Lonchura striata: one gene and its partner. The main gene of each other region encodes a partner of the protein of the gene in region 2 in a complex. Links are inferred from orthologs where the notes say so. Each region holds a gene or a part of one and is shown on either strand. Other genes may lie near its edges.

What was found. Proteins that work in one complex are often made in the same cells at the same time.
Region 1: the proteins of YWHAH (region 2) and NUMB are in contact, whole or in part, in a crystal structure (PDB 5YQG), measured with the Mus musculus proteins. The link is inferred for Lonchura striata from reciprocal best matches to the Homo sapiens genes YWHAH and NUMB. Residues at the interface, in NP_035868.1 of Mus musculus: Arg57, Arg132, Tyr133, Leu177, Asn178, Val181, Glu185, Ile222, Leu225, Asn229; in NP_001129547.1 of Mus musculus: Gln274, Gly275, Ser276, Phe277.

What each region holds. Positions count from the first base shown.
Region 1 is NC_134608.1:35,772,197-35,780,375, forward strand, and holds the start of NUMB (protein numb homolog), read right to left. Parts: upstream 3,520-8,179; 5' UTR 3,415-3,519; exon of another isoform or gene 3,308-3,414; intron 1-3,307. UniProt on the Homo sapiens protein: Regulates clathrin-mediated receptor endocytosis. Plays a role in the process of neurogenesis.
Region 2 is NC_134620.1:4,328,383-4,336,425, reverse strand, and holds the start of YWHAH (14-3-3 protein eta), read left to right. Parts: upstream 1-4,678; 5' UTR 4,679-4,805; coding exon 4,806-4,892; intron 4,893-8,043. UniProt on the Homo sapiens protein: Adapter protein implicated in the regulation of a large spectrum of both general and specialized signaling pathways. Binds to a large number of partners, usually by recognition of a phosphoserine or phosphothreonine motif.

The DNA of each region.
Region 1 (8,179 bases), on a different chromosome or scaffold from region 2:
CCAAACCAGCTTGAAACACTTTGCTATAAGTCCTTGTTAACACAGGTCATGTTGATGGAAATGTATGGTTCCAGAAAAGCTCCAGGAAATTTCAATCAGAGCCCCATCTCCAACCCCACTTCAACCTAAGTCCCATTTCCACTCCCTAACCTGGATGATCTGCCAGTTCAGATATATGATCCAGCTAAAATTCAACAAAACAAAAAAAAGCAATTAAACACCTGATTAACTCCCTGACTTCACTTAACTCAGAGCAACAAAGGTCTCCTTGCCAGCATCTGAAGATGCACAGTCAAGAAGGAGACACAACCACCACAGCTTCAGTTTAAGCTGCCAAGTCTATTGACAAGGCAGGACTATTAGGCAAAACTAAAATTGAGCTGCTTCAGCAAAGAGTGGTCACAGCCTCCTCCTCCTCCTATGCAAGCAATAACATTTGTATAGCCATGAAGTCAGTTCAGGCAGTTGATCCAACTGAAGCTTAACATTTTTCTGTACAGCCATTTTCAGCTGGATCAGCAAAGAAAGACTAACAGGGGAAAACAGATCCTTTTGGTGAAAGCATCGGCAGAAAAATCAAAGCTGCTGTGGTGGTAATTCAATAATATGACTGTAGAGGACATGTTAAGTCTTAGCTTGATTGAATTTATGCTTGGTATTCTGCAGGAAAAGAAAGGCAATGTGGTCTAATTTCACTTATTAATATTTTGAGATCAGTTGAGACTTAACAAGAAAGCTGTAATTTTAATATATGTTCACCAATCAAAGCAAACTCCAAAAACAAGACTAAGGACAAGATTTCATATGAGTTTAAACCAAGCTTGCTTGATAAGCTGGGAGAACAAAACTATAAGTGAACTTTCACCCCTCCCCTAAAGAAAGAACAAAGTCAGCAGAGTGTCAGACAAGTAGATGAGTGCAGTAAGTAGGATACAACTAAAAAGTCACCAATAAGACCAGCTTTGGCTGCCAGTCTCTTACTTGACAGCTTCTTTAAAACATCTTTTCCAGAGTACAAAAGATTACATTTCTATAGCATTAGAGCATTTTTTTTCCAGTGCTATGCAGTTCCATCAATATTACTAGTGGAATAAAACCAGCTATAGGCAGAATTCAAGACATACTTCACAGTGCTGTAATAGGCTCTCACAAACACACAATAAAAAATCTACTACAGTATATTTTTCCCAATAGCTTCAATTCCTGAGGAAGGAAGCACTTTTGCAAAGACTTCCAGTACCGTTTCAGAAAGTTTTTAATCCATCATACCCGTTATGGTAGGAAAGAAAATTACTTACAGATCATTCCGACACCAAGCAGCTCTATCAAACTACAAAATGTAAGATTTAGAAGTCTGGCAAGTTTTAAGAGCCCAATGTGGCTTGTTGGTTTAGGTTTCTTCCCAAATGCATAATGCTGCCAAACTGCTAACAAAAAATCAGAAGGTTTCACAACACTACATGAAAACATAAACAAACTTGTCTACTCTATCTAGTTTACATGCGCCTTCAGTTTCCACACATTTAAGCTAAATAATAAATGCAGGAAAGTAATTCCAAGGATAAAAAATAAATTTTCTGCTAGTAAGGATTTAAATTGTTCATTTGAATTTCATTTCTCATGTATATTTTAGGAAAAAAATATTTTATGTGTTAGGTTTAGAGTTCTGTAAATCTAAATTTTCACTGAGGCTTAAAACCAACACTATATGCAATTACAGATTAAAAAGCCTTTACTGTAGGATAACTCAGGGTACCAAGACTCCTAGAATCACAGGCAAGAATGAACACATCTGAAATTCATTGTTTTGGACTTTGTTCACATCCTTATTTCTTCTGTAAGACTTTTGCTAAGGGGAAAAAAACAGCACTTCCACAGACAATTGCCAAGAGATGAAGAAATGGAAAACACTCACTGATGAACAGAAAAACAATCTCTTTCTCTATGGTAACTATTAACTCCGCATAATCATAAAGACCATTTTAGCAGTAACTATAGATCAATAAGTCAAATAGAACTGAGTCAGAAATCCATTTAAATATTTACATTTTTTGTTACAAGTCATACTTAGAGTATTACTGTAGCCAAAGAGAATGACTGTGCCTTCCATTTTATTCACTCTCTTCATTCAGGAGCCTATCTTGATATGCAGAATGATCAAAAATACAAAACAAGAGCAAAATGAAATCCTTTAAATGGTAGAAATATACATTGTTGACAACTATAAGCTTCTCCTACTCCGGACAGCTGAATTAGGAAATATTGATAACAACACACAAAACACATCAGCAAACAGAAAAGCTCCCTTATCATTTCATAAACCATTAATGAGCAGGTTATATAAATCTACTGGACCGAAGGAGTTGTAGATCAGAGCTGCTGCAAGACATTAACTCTACTGTGAGGGATAAATCATTTCATTCTTGAAGAATGTTCATCTCCAAGAGCGCAATAAAAGGAATTAAGGGCTCTCCGAACGGGAGCTGCATTTTAACCCTTCGTGACCGACCGAGCGCGGAGCGGGGCGATGCTCCCCGGGCGCACCGCAGCCCCCGCCCCGCACGCTGTTGCTCATCCATCCCTCCTTGGCCCGCAGGACGGGCCGAACCCGGCCGCCTGTTCTTTGTGCAGCCTGGCGAGCTGCCGCACACGCACCGAGGCACCGGCCAAGCCACGAACCGGGTGAAAAGAGACGAGCCCCGCTGCCCACGGGGCCCTTTCCCCTACAACTCCCGCTGCCAGACCGGGACGTCAGTACCATCGCCCAAAAGCCTCGTCCCGACGCCTCCCGAAGTTCACAGAGCCCAGCCCCAGCTGAGACGGGGCAGCGGGTTCGGGAGAGCCCCTGCTGCCCGGAGCCCCCTCGCTCCCACGGCCACGCAGGGGCGGCAAGCGGTACAAAGCGCCCGGGAGCGGCCGCGCCGGAGGGACCCTCTGACGGAAACCTGGCCGGGATTCAAGGCCTAGGAGAGACCGCAGGCACGGGAGGCAGCCCCGGGAGAATCCCAGGGAGCGGCGCCGCCCCGGGGGTCGCTTCCTCGGGCCGGCGGCTCGGTGCTCCCCGCAGGGCCCTTCGGTGCCGCGGCCGCCCCCCGCAGGCTCCACCTGCGCCGGGCCCCCGCTCCGCCGCACCGGGGGATCGCGCCCCACCCCACCGCGCCCCGCCGGGGCGGGGGCCGGAGGGTGCCCCCACATCGCCCGCCGCCTCCGCACGCACTTTCCCGGAGTACCCCTGCCCCCCCTCATCCCCTCCGGCCCCTCAAGCTTCCCCCGCCTCCGGCGCCCCCCCCCCCGCCGCCGGACCCACCCGCGCCCCACGGGGTTTGGCACGGCCCCGTCGCGCTCGCCTGCGGCTCCGACCACCGGCCGCTGCAGCGAAGGCCCTTCCCCGCATCGCGGCCCGGCCGTGCTCACCTGCTACCCGCAGCCGCCTCCCTCCGGCGCCTCCTCCGCCGCCCGTCGCCACCGAGCAGCGCCGCCGCCGCCGCTCCGCCCCCGCCCCCCGACCGTCGCTCCCGCCCCCGCCGCCAGCCACGCCTACTCCGGCGGCCCATTGGCCAGGCGCCCCGAGGTCCGGCCTTTGGATTGGTGTGAGGAGCCGCCCGTCAAAGCCTCGGCCCCGCCCATCCCCGCCCCACAGGTCCCGGGTGGTTTATTCACGCCGGGGCTTTGGCGCCCCCAATCTCTCGCTGTCGGTTCCGATTGGCTGACGCGGCGGGGACGGCGCGCCAGGATTGGCTGCCCGAGGTGCCACTGCGGCGGTGCGCCCGCCCCGCCGGGGCTCGGCTGCGCGGTGCGGCGGGAAGGCGGCGGCCGCTGCCGCGCCGGGCTCGCGGCCGGGGAGCGCCCGGACCTCCGGGCCCCCCGGCCCCGGCGACCCCTGATGCGTCAAGGGGCGATGCGCCTCCCACCGCCCGTCTGCGGTTCGGTTCCGCTGTGGTTCTTATCTCCTCACGGCTGCGGCGGTGGCGACACCAGGAGGAGGGTTCCCGCAGCCCCGTTGCCACCTCGGTTACCCCCCCGATAAACCACATGTGGTGACTGCCACCCTCCCTGGGGGCTGCAGTGAGACGTGCTGCTAATGCCAGCTCTCCGGAAACCGTGATGTCCTACATCAGCCAGAGGCCAGGCTTGCACGAAAATCGCGAGCAGGCTCCTTTAACCTCCACGACTGAGACTGAGAACCACAGTATTCTCAGGATACCCTTCTTTCGACCCCAGAAACACTAGCATGCCTCCATTTTCGAAGTGGAGACAGTAGCAGGTGCTGAATTCAGCAGGGAGGCTGCGCTTCAAAGGGAAGTTACCCAGGGGAATCCTCTGGGAGAAGCACCCTTGCGACTGCACATACGGGGCTTGGCCTGAACGCGTTAACCAGAATGCGTATTTCAAACAGCTGCCTCCTCTCACCAGACTTTCAAGCAGCTGCTTCATCCAAAATGCAAGCCAGAACGATTCCCGGTGCATTCAGCTGAAAAGAAGAAGGGGAAAAAAAAAAAAATCAAAATGCAACGATTACCTGATTTTTCCCTTCATTATTATATTCTCCCTGCATACACCATCCCCCTTATTCCTCTTTGCTTCTGAATCAAGCAAAGAAACAGAGCAGCAAAGAATGCGGGCCATAATGTTAGCTGGCAAACATCAAGAAAACAAAGCAACTGAAATCACTGGGAATTTCAGAGCATGTGCAAAAATAATTTACCAAGTTTATACAGGAAGTGCTCAGGCAGAAGTATGAGTATGACACTGACTCAGTTTCAGACTGATGCTCTGACCCCCAAGTCACCCCTTGTTCATAAATTAAACTGAGAAGATGCAGGGATTCTCCTTACATCTTTTTGCATATCCTTTGCTTTCCAAGGAAAGCAAAATCAAGGCAGAGAGCTGCCTTCCCTCTCAAATATTCAAGTCCCAAGTTTTCTTCAGATTTTATGAAAACATTCCTGACTTATCATAGATCTTAAATACTGCGTTCCCAGTACCTTCAGTATAACACTTCATCTTATTCACAGTCTCTGGATTTCTGACAGAAATTTTTGTAAAGCATGATGCTCTTTATTTTTTATGAAAATTTAATTCTAAATTAACAACTCTCATATTATCAAGAAGCTCTGCTTCTAAATGAAAAGTATAAAGGAAAAGGCCAGGACATGCTATTGTAAATAAAATCCAATGTATGCTTCAGCTATTTATAGCTTTTACAAATATTTATAAGATAGCTAAATTCATTTGTTGCCATTACTGCTTCTCTGCTCAGCTAATAACTTGACCTCCCTGTATGGTCATTGGTGACTGAAGGGAAAGGGGGCCGTGGTGGGAAAGGAAAGGAAGATGACCCTAGAGGTCACTCAGCTGGACACACTAAGCATCCAACATAGCAAGCTGCACATTCACAGTGCTGCACTGCGGGTCCAAGGCACCTTCTGGGTTGAGTGTGTTGTCTTCCCACAGCACTTCCATGGGAGGGGGGGAAATTACTTCTCCAAGGTCTGACACTGGAAGAAATGCTTTAAATGCTTTGATCCTCATAGATAACAAAGAAATGGAAGATACTTCATAGCATTCACAAGAAACCAAACCAAATTTGCCCCTTATCACCTTTTCTTTAAGAACAGGACTCCCTGTGTAATACACAGGATTAATGGTCTTGACTCCCTGTCATGCCCACTGACTCCTGTCAACTGTGCCTTTCTAGCCAATATCCTTCCTGGACTCAGTGGGATAGCAGGAGAGTATGCTATTCCCTAAGGACCTGAGAATATATCACACACACATTCATGACAATGCAAACTCCTTTATCCCCACTGCAGATACCCAGAGGCTTAACATCATTCTACTCTATTGGGTATCTAAAATAATGTCAGTGATTAAATCTCCCTTCACCATGTTATCCCTTCTAGGAACAAGCCATACCAGTATAAATATATGCATTTCTATGTTCACAAAGAGGAATTCCATTTTTTCGGCAGTATATATAAAACAATAGGAGCTTGTGTGTCTGGATGAGCACTGGAAATGTTCAAAAATATTTCTATAAGGTGCCATATTGGCTAGTAGCAATACATATCTACTATGCGAAGCAAATAAGCAATTACTACAGGGGCTTTCTCCTGTCATGCTCTGAGCAGATTTGAACCAATATGGTTGCTAAACCAAGGCATTCTGTTTGCATAGTATTTACATCTTGGTAGTGCTGCATCTGAGGTGAGCAAGCAATTTCAGAATACTTCAGAAAAACTTAAATATAGGAAACAAAACATAAAGTCTTTTTGTAAGGCTTTTGACTAGGAACAGCTTACAGGAGAAGCAAGTGTTGAATAGGGTTGCCCTATGTTGGCACAGTGATATGTTAATCTTGAAATAGTGGGCATAAATGTATTTAATGAGCAAAGCTATGCAGTTGCCATCATTAGTACAGAAAGGATATGAGGAGCAAGAATCCTTTAAAACCTGCCTTCCATGGAAAAACATCAGCCAAACAGCTTGTCAAGAGCCATGGTCTGGGCATATCAGAAGGATATTCTTTAGCACAAGATTTATGCAGGAAGAGTTTGACTGTACTTTCTACCTTGATTCTTTAGATGTGATTAATCCCACAGGAGAAGTATTTCATTCAGGTTCTCTTTGCCTTCATTTTAGGATGGGGATTTTCTCCTCATTGCCATTTCTTTCTCTCCTTCTACTGGAGCCTTGAAGTCTGGAACTTTGTATTTAATCACTGCCTATGGAGTCACTGCAGATGGTATCTGCTCAATGCTACTGAATGCTAGATGGCAACTAATAAAAGCATAAAACCCCTCATAAAATTATTTCAAAATTTGAAAGTACACATGCCCAGTCAGGGGGTTGAATAAACTCAGTCAAAAGTCCTACTTAATTACATTATTTTAATTCAGCTTTAATTCCAATGTATTTGCTTTCGTGTCACATGGTACATGTGCTTCCAAATCCCTCCAAAAAGATAATTTCACAGGGAGGACAGGACCTTCTAATTATGATTTTTACAAATGTGCTTTAATTTGGTTGTTCCATGGCAGGGAAGGCTTCTTTTCTCAGTGGGGCTCCTTGTACAAGATAACCAGGCTTAAAGACCACAACCAGTCACTGAATAAGAAGATCCTCGGAAAGAGAGAAACAGCTGGAGGGAAGCCAAAGCTGCTGCCAAAAGATGCTTCAGTGAGTGAGTGCATTCACTCTGACGAGGGAGGCCAGAGGATAGCTCTTGAGAAACAGTTCCTGAATTAGCTTTCAGTCTTGTTATCTGGCAGTGAACTTTATAGCTTTCACAATGAGCAGCAGGCTTCAGAATCCAGCTGTGTCCTTCCAGTGATGACATAGTGGATGTAGCTAGGCTGTGTAAGAAAGACTGTCAGCTAAGCAAACCTGTTAGTGAAGGCTTGAAATGCTCTTTATCCTTACTAGGTATTAGTTTTGGCATGAGAACAAAACTGATGGTGCAAAAGGAAGGTCACCAGCAAAGTAATAATGAGAAGAAGGATTAAGCTGGGCTTAACTTTCTAATAGTGACTGGTTTACATTAATGGTTTGCCAGGAACACAGAGAAAGTCTGCATGATGGTGAACAACTGAGTATCTAATACACAGGAAACTGCAAAGAATTTTGCCCTTTCCACTCATTAGACTACTCATAGCTTTGCAGGGTCAGGCCTTACCCAAAATCCTCCTTAAATTTGAGATTTCAGTTATTTGAATGGCATAAGGTTAAAATATCAAATGAACCCTACATCTCTTTAAGGTGCCATTTACTTACTTCTTTTAAAGTCACTTGTGACTCTCTAATAGGTTGTACTCACCACGTTTATATGCCCTCTTAAAACACATGTGGCTCTTTCAATGCAGCTTATATGTTCATAAAATTCAAGAAATGTTGTGCTAAATTATAATTAAGAAATTTAATTGAGCCTCTAGTTGCTACTCTGTCTGTGTAAGCAGCAGCTAGGGATGACCTAATAATTCAGAGACCTGTATTACTTTCCTGATGTTTATTTAAAGAGCTGTACATGACACATATTTTTTTAGACAAATTCCTGTGAAATATTGGACAATGAATGCAAAGAGCACATAAACCTTGTGGCTACTCCTAAACAACCATCTCTGTAAGTGATACTGAAGCCCTCTCTTTTTGCTCCAGGTCAAAACCCTTTCTTGTGTTGCAC
Region 2 (8,043 bases):
TAGAGGAAACGAGCGCTCTGTGCAGTGACTCGAGTAGGGCACCCAGAATCAGAGGCCACTTTTGAATTGTCGGTAAAGGCATTTTGTTTTATCTCTGCACTTCATTAGTCTTATCCCCAAAGTCTTTCATGTTGTGTTCTACAGTGAAAGGTCATTGTTTCAGATCAATCATTTTCAGTGGGATTTAATCCAGTTCTAAGTCAAACTAATCCACTTTGGTAAAGGTTGAAGGGCAGTGAAAATTCATTTGTTAAGACAGATCTGGTCTTATTTTTTAAATGTGGCTGTTGATGCTGGGTCCTTAATTATTTATGCTCAGCACAAGGCGTCTTTCGGAGAGGTTCCAGAAATCATAGGATTGAGTTATTTTGTGTTCGTATTGTTCTTATTTTCTTAACACAGGTTGTTTCTTTTTCCTCTTACCTGTAGAGCCTCTTTTCAAAATGGTGCTCTGGTGGCAGCTGCTGATAAGCAGGATTTTTCATGTTTTCCTGTTGAAGCTTGTGAATTCTGGTTACTTTGCCCTCATTATATAAAGAGTAAAACTGCATTCTTCTGCCTGGGCAGGACTAGCAAACACTGTAGTTTGAAGTAGCTCATGAGGAGTTAAAGCTAAAGTGTTCTTGCTGCTTAAAGGAACCCCCACAACTGAGCATGCCTGACAACCCCCTGTGCATATCCCTGAATCATTCTAGCAAGGAAAAACTGCCATCATCTTTTATTCAGATATAGTGCTGTTTCCTCACTGGACTCTGAAATGAGCAGGTGCTGGAAGATAGCACATTTTGGCAGAGAGTTCTGAGGGTTTATCAGCTTGTGTCTGCACAGGATTTTGAACATGCAAAAGGCTACTGTGTGTGAATACTGAATGGTATTAAATAGACTGCAGTGATCCCAAATAGGCTTTGGGGTACAGACCTACCCTTTCCCACGTGGGAGCAAGAGCTTCACAGGTTTTATACAAATCAGTACCCTTCTGTTTTAAAGTTCTTCCCATGCAGGTTAATAGATACACAATGTACTTCACCACAGTGCGTGGCATGAACCCTGTTGCTGCTGCTGAGCAGCACTCAGGCAGTGTCATCTTTCTTCATTCTAGGATTTACCCTTGAGTTATGAGGGAGGTTCTGTGAGAGTGATTCAAGATTAATATGAAATTGAAATATGACAAAGAGTAGAATATTTTCACACACTGTGACAGCCTCGAGGCTTGTTAAACTGTGGTGTGTGGCTTGGCTAGAAGTATGTCACTGAAATTACAGTCCCTTGTGGTTTGGGAGAGAATCATCACACTACAGCTACGCCCACTGCTATCTCGTGCTCTGATCTTGTCGTTGGTTACACCATCTATCCTCCTGATGCACATTTATCTCACTTTACTGGGGGAATGTGCTGCTAGAATTCTAACAATAAAAATTACAGACAGTCCTAAGCTTCTGGAAGAATCTGTCCTTACAGCACTATCTGAGCATCATGCCCCATGTAAGGGCCAGGCACAAGTATTTCCAAGACCAGATGTTAACAAACTCCATCTCTTTCTCTTCCATAGTTGTCTCTGCTTCATTTGCTGTGATGTGGAAGCTGGTTAACCTCCCCCACCAGTGGGTGGTTTCTCTTCTCTCTCTCTGTTTCTCAGTATCCTGTCCCCAAGACTTTCATCATTTAGCAGTTCCCTAAATAAAACATTTCCTTGCTGCAGAAAGGAGAGGGAAGATCATTTTCTCCAGGGATCAGGAGGATGGTAGTGGCAGGAACTTTGTAGCAGCACTGCTGTAGTTCCGTGACTCTCAGAAAGAGCAGCACGAAATGTGTGTGCTCCCTCAGTGCTTCCAGGACAGCACAAGGGGAGGTTTTCCACCATGGTGAAAGCCTGGGAATGGCACATGGTGGTTTCCTGGTGGTGTTGCCTCTTCACCAGTGTCCCTGCAGCTAAACATCAGCACTGGGAGATGGCCTCTGAGCCAGCTGTGGTGTCCCCAGTGCCCCTGTGCGAGTGAACACTGAACTGGAATGGCATTTCAGCAGGGAGCTATTTATGGAACATGGGTGCTGTCCAATAATCAGATATGCCTGTGGAGCAGAGCCACTGCCTTAGGTCATAGTGCAATTTTCAGCGCCATAAATTTCTCCATCTACAAATTCTTGCTGGGTGTGGTCACTCTGGGAACAATTCTCAGTCCTGCCTCATGAGAGCAGTATTCCTGAGCTTTGATGGGAATCATGGAGTGATGCCTGGCATTGAGCTCAGCAGGGGAACCACAGTCAGGCACTGCTTGCACCCCATTCGGCACTCTAATAAAAGACCTGCTGATTTTTCCTTTTCCTTTCCATTTTTGTTTTAAGACATTGTGACTCATAAATATTGTAGAAGATTATAAAACTCACTGTGTGAGCTCTAATTTCTGTTTATTTGTACCTCTGTGGAAATGTGGAGCCACTACTGAGGGTGAAGATCCAGAGCACTAGGCACTGTATGCACAGGAGAATATAGGTACTCTCCCCCAGACCTTGGATGTGAAATGCAATCTCTTCCCTTTCTTTAGGTTACAGCCAGAGTGGAAATGCTGCACACAACGTTGCCTTATTTTAGCACTTTTTCTTGAAACTGTTGAATTTAGATTTGTATCTGGTTTTAGAGCAGCAAGGTTACACATGACCTCGTGGATTCAAGGTTAGGAATTTTTGAGACGCTTTAGACTGAAAAGTAGCTGTTTTACAGAAGCCTCAATTAAAGAAACCAAAGCATTTAATGAGAATGTTTTGTGCATGTGTAGATATATCCACATATATTTGGCAGATTAATGCAGATTGGTTCAGTGGGTGAATAACTCATTTTAAAAATACTTTGTAATCCATTTCCCTGGGGAGTCTGAAGCTGCTGTACAAGACTAGAAAGCTGCTGGTAAACCCTACATATTTTCAGAGCTGTTGGAATGCTTTGCAAACTGACTAATCTCTACTGAGAGATTATTACAACTGCAAAGGTTCCCAACTGAAGTGAACTGGGCAAGGAGGATTGGCACATCTGTCACTACTCTTGCCTGAGGGTCAGATGCATTAAAATTTGTATTTTGACATGGAACTATATATTTTCAAAATCACATCTTTGCTGTCTATACCTAAACATTTATTCTAAGGTAAAATCAATGCAAGTTTTAAAATAATTATGATAAAAAATTGAACTGATGCCTGGGATCCATTCTGTTCAAGTTTTGGATGTCACTGCCTTCTCTTAGAAACAGTGAAAACAAAATCCCAGTAGGAAAAAGCCCCATTTGGCTTGCTGGGATGCATGCACAGTAGTGTATGTGCTTCACACTACTGCAAGAGTTGTTTCCAGAATGTTCTGGCAATCAGTTTATAACTTGCTAAATTTTATCTTTCATGCCTTATTACATACAACTATAGTTTATTCTTACTTGTCATATTTATTTATGTCTTTTAACAAGACAGCTATATTCATCTAATCCCTTTAAAAATGGCAGCATTTATTTTAACTGGCATTAGGGTTTAATGCACAAAAGCCAGCAGCATTAGAGTTAAGGCTAAAAACTTTTGTCTGACACAAGGGACTGGATTGACTCATTTGAAGCAGTGTGAGAGTACCGAGGGTAGCGGAGAGCATCGGGAGGAGTGAGAGCAGCCTTGTCCCCGCTTCCCGGGTGTACCGCTGGACTTTCTCTCCTTGTCTTTGGGGGCGAGGACGGATGTGAGCTTCAATTGCCACAGGTGCTCCGTGCTGAACTCTCTGCTGGTGAGCAAACCTTCCGCTCGGCTGCACAGCAGCTCCCCGTACCTTCAGCGGTGCAGGCATGTTTAAATGCTGGCCAGGATTGAATGGGAAAAGTTAATCTATGATTTATTGTAAGAGATGAGTAACGTGGCTCCCAGCGTTTCTGTGGACACCAGCAGCAGTTTGTTGTTTGTGCCAGGTTCTTACCTTGAGATAATTTTTATGTAAGAATGGTAGTCTATCAATCCGCGAAAGCGGAGCTTGACTATTACACATTAAAATACGTAGTAAAATTGAATTTAGCTGCATCTCTTAGGTAAGGTAGTAGAATTGGTCCGTGGTACCACCCCCACAAGTCGGGCTGTTTCGAGGCAGCCGGGATGCGAGATACACTTATTTCCCCGAGAGAGGCACAGCCGTGCCACCACTGCAGGCTGCGGCCGCACAAAGCAGCCGCGGGCAGGGCAGGGTCGCACACGTGAACGCGGAGCGTGGTCACCCCGACCCGTGGTCAGCCAGCCGTGTGCCGCCCGTGTCCCTGCCGCGGCCAGGCAGGCGGGCGAGGCGGTGTCGGTGTCCAAGCCCGTGCCGTGCCGAGCCGAGCCGTGCCCCGTCCCGCAGTGCCCGCGCCCCCCGCCCACCTCCACCTTTGCAGCAGGAAAATGCAGCACTCCCAGCGCGCAGGCGCGGCCCGCGGCCGGCGCCCCGCCATGGCTATTTATAGCAAGTGACGTCACCTAGAAATAGAGCGCGGGGGAGCGGCGCCCCCTCCCCTCCCCTGCAGCACCGCGGCTCCGCCCCCTCGTTGCCTTCCCGGCGCGCAGGCGCGGGCGGCGGCAGCAGCGCCAGGCTCCGAGCCGCACACGCCGCGGTCGGTCCGGGAGCGCGGCCGGCGGGCGAGGGAGCGGCGGCCAGCACAGCTCAGCCCGGCACAGCCCAGCTCGGCCCGGCACAGCCCAGCGGGCGGCTCCGCTTACAGTTCCTGCTCCCGCCACCCGTGCGCGCCCAGCCGCACATCCCCGCCCGCCTTCCGCTCTCCCTGCCCAGCCCGGCAGCCACCACGGAAGCGGCCATGGGGGACCGAGAGCAGCTGCTGCAGAGAGCCCGCCTGGCCGAGCAGGCGGAGAGATACGATGACATGGCCTCGGCCATGAAGTCGGTGAGTGGGGCCGGTAGCGTGGCGGCCGTGGGGCGTACTCGGGGAGGAGTGTGTAGGGGAGTAGCGGCGGGGGAGGGAGGGAAAGGAAGTGCGGGCTGCTCCGAGGCGGGGTTGGTCCGGGCAGGATGCGAGCCGCCGGGTCCCACCCGTGGCGGTGAAGAAAGGAGGGCGGGAGCAGGAGCCAGACCATCCCGCCGGGACACCTCGCCGCCGTGTGGGGCGGTGCCCAGTACTACCTGCCTTCGGCAGAGAGGAGACAAAGAGTAGCCGGTCCAAACCGGACCTAGCACCCCCTCTCAAAACCTGTTTCCTTCCCCCTCCCCGTTCCCCCCATTCCCCGTGGAGGCTGTCTCGCAGCCCTCCCGCTCCCCGGCTGTCCCTGCCCCGGGGGTGTGGCTGTCCCCACGCCCTCCTCTCCGTCTCCCACCGCGCCAATCGGGCTCGCGGTGCGGCCATTTGAACGCCGCCCGCCTCTGCTGGCGGCGGGAGCGCCGCGCTTTCTCCGCCGCACGTGGGCCCGTCCTCGCCCACCCCCACGCGGGGGCTCCACCTTGGGGCGCGTCTCCCCTCTGGGCACCCGCCAGCGTCTGGGGCGCTGGTCCTGCGGGATGGGCACTGCGGCGGGGGCTGTCAGGGCACACAGCAGGAGGAGCCCCTTCCTCTTCTAGACGTTTCTTTTGCCTCGCCGTGAAAGACGCGAATAGCGGCCTCACTGACATCGGTGACTCAAAGGTAGTAGCTGCGTCCAGGTGTGAAAGCTACCCCTTGTTCCAGGAGCATTTCCCGAGCTTTAACGTTGCCTTTTTGCCACTTATTTGTAGGGTAACAGTTTCTCAGTGCATTCCGTACCCTGTTGAATAATGAAATGTGTTTAAACAATGTTACATTTGCAACTCTACTCCTTTCAGAACCAAGCAACGAAAATTATTTGTACTGATCTGATTGTACTGGTGCATAATAAAATTGTAGAATGATCAAACCTGTTACGTCTAGTTCCTTTTTTGAAAACAAAGCATTTACACCATCTGAGTGTTATGGGTAATGTTAGTGCCACTGGATGCTTAGCAGTGTCTTTCCATATCAGATTACAGTTGGTTTGTTCTTGCTGATCTGTCCTCTGTGAACACCAAAGGCCCCAAGAGGAACTGTTTCTCTCGAGAGTTCTGCTGTTTAAAGGCACAAGATGATTTTTATTTTGAAAAGGAGCTTCAAATGGAGTCCACATTTTTATTGTAAGAATGTCGCCTCCCTTAAAGGAGGGCAGCAAAAAGACACTAATTTTGCTGCTTTTGTTCACTTTTGCTATTATGTTATAATAAATACTACAACCAGTCCAGTTCTAAAACAGTGATACTTCTGAGTATCTCAATACCACAGACACAAGATGTTTAAATAAGGTGTATTTACAATTCTATCCCTAGAGTTCTTGATACAAACAATGTAATAGTAACAGCTCTTCTTTCAGTTGGTAATTTTAAAAGATGAAATAGAGAACTCACTAAAATGTACTGCTCAAGAAGACAATTTCTAGCTGTTGCTAGTAGAAAGCTTTATGTATCTCCAAGAACTGCAGACTTACAGTGCATGTATGGTCTCTGGGCACATGTGAAACCATGAGAACACAGCTGCTTTGCTTTAGGAAATGTGTAAATAAAGTACTTGCAACTAGTGTGTATGTCCAGTTGTCTTCAAACTGTTCTAATTGCTATGCAAATTTTGCTTTACCTGGAGCTGTGGTATTCTCATCTGAAATGCCACTTCTGCTTGCAAATAAGTTGTGTGATCATGTAATTGGGAGCTCAAGGACAGTTTGTAAGTAAGTGGAGTCTTGAAACTTACAGATACATTTAAAATACAAAAAGCAGTCTGAGTTTAGAAGCAACAGTTCCCTTACTTAGAGCTGTTCATACACTGTTGCATGTCTGTGATGTAGCATCTGTTATTTGGCTTTCACAGATGTTCACTCCAACACAGCAATTTCCAGAATGCTCTTCAGTGTTGAGGTTGATTTTGTAGGTCTGAGCATAATCTGTGGAATGCTCTGAGGGCTGGCTGTCCTCACACTTCATACTTCTGTTTCAGTGACTGCAAATAGCAGAGAGATAATTCAGAGAGTTTTTAATTCATATAGGTTAATATTGAAGTAATTGTGCAATCCAGAGAATTTAGACTTCCTCCAAAAGGAAGGAAATCAGTACTCTCAGAAATCTATTCTCCAGGGTATCTTGATTTGAAAAGTTTATTTTTTTTTTCCAAAATCTCTGCTTGTAACACATCTGATACTTTTTAAAGGTGCTATATGAAAGTAGTGTGCTTTCAGTGTCAATTGAAATGTGAGCAATTAATTTCAGTTTTAGATATTACTACCCTTTACAATACAGAATTTAGCTAACAGCATGGTAGTTCAGAAACATAAAAATAACAAATGCTTGTTTTTGTGAAAGTGCATTTGCCTGATTTTTGACTCTGCCACTGGAGAGTGACAAGGCTGCTGTTTCATCTGTCAGCGTAAAGCTGGAAAAACATTTATTTTTTATTCCCATCAGTTGTTCTATAATGAAAAAAGCTAGACCAAGTAGCACTTGTAGCTTAAAAAGGAATTTACTGCTCAATATGAATTTTTGTTGTTGTAAACTTTTTTTTTTCATGGAAGAATTCCAGTATTTTTGATTGTAATGTGTAAACAAGAGAGGAAAAAGAAATAATTGCTATTACAAGTAATTGTGTACATTAATTTGTAACTATTAAAATAATTTTAACAGCAAATAGAGTCAAATTTAAATGGCATTCTTCCATGGTATTCCCATTGCATTAAGTGCTGCTCCAGGATTCCGGCTGTTTCAAATAAAGCTCACACGGTAGGTACAGAATTGCTTCTCAGCACACTGGAGAAAGATGCTTTGGGTGTAACTGTGAAAGGCTCTCAGATGATGCAACAAATGTTTCAGCATTCTGAGATTACAGCATTGAGTACCCTTTGGTTTAGATAATTCCAGAAACCATGAAGAATTGTAGCTGTGTAAGCCCTTGGGTTTTTGGACAGTATTAATCCTAAGAGGTAGTGCTTAGGACCTCTATTGATTTATGTTGCTTTTCCAATATAGCTACATAGTGGTAAAAAATAATTTACTTTTTAAAATTGGTAACGTGA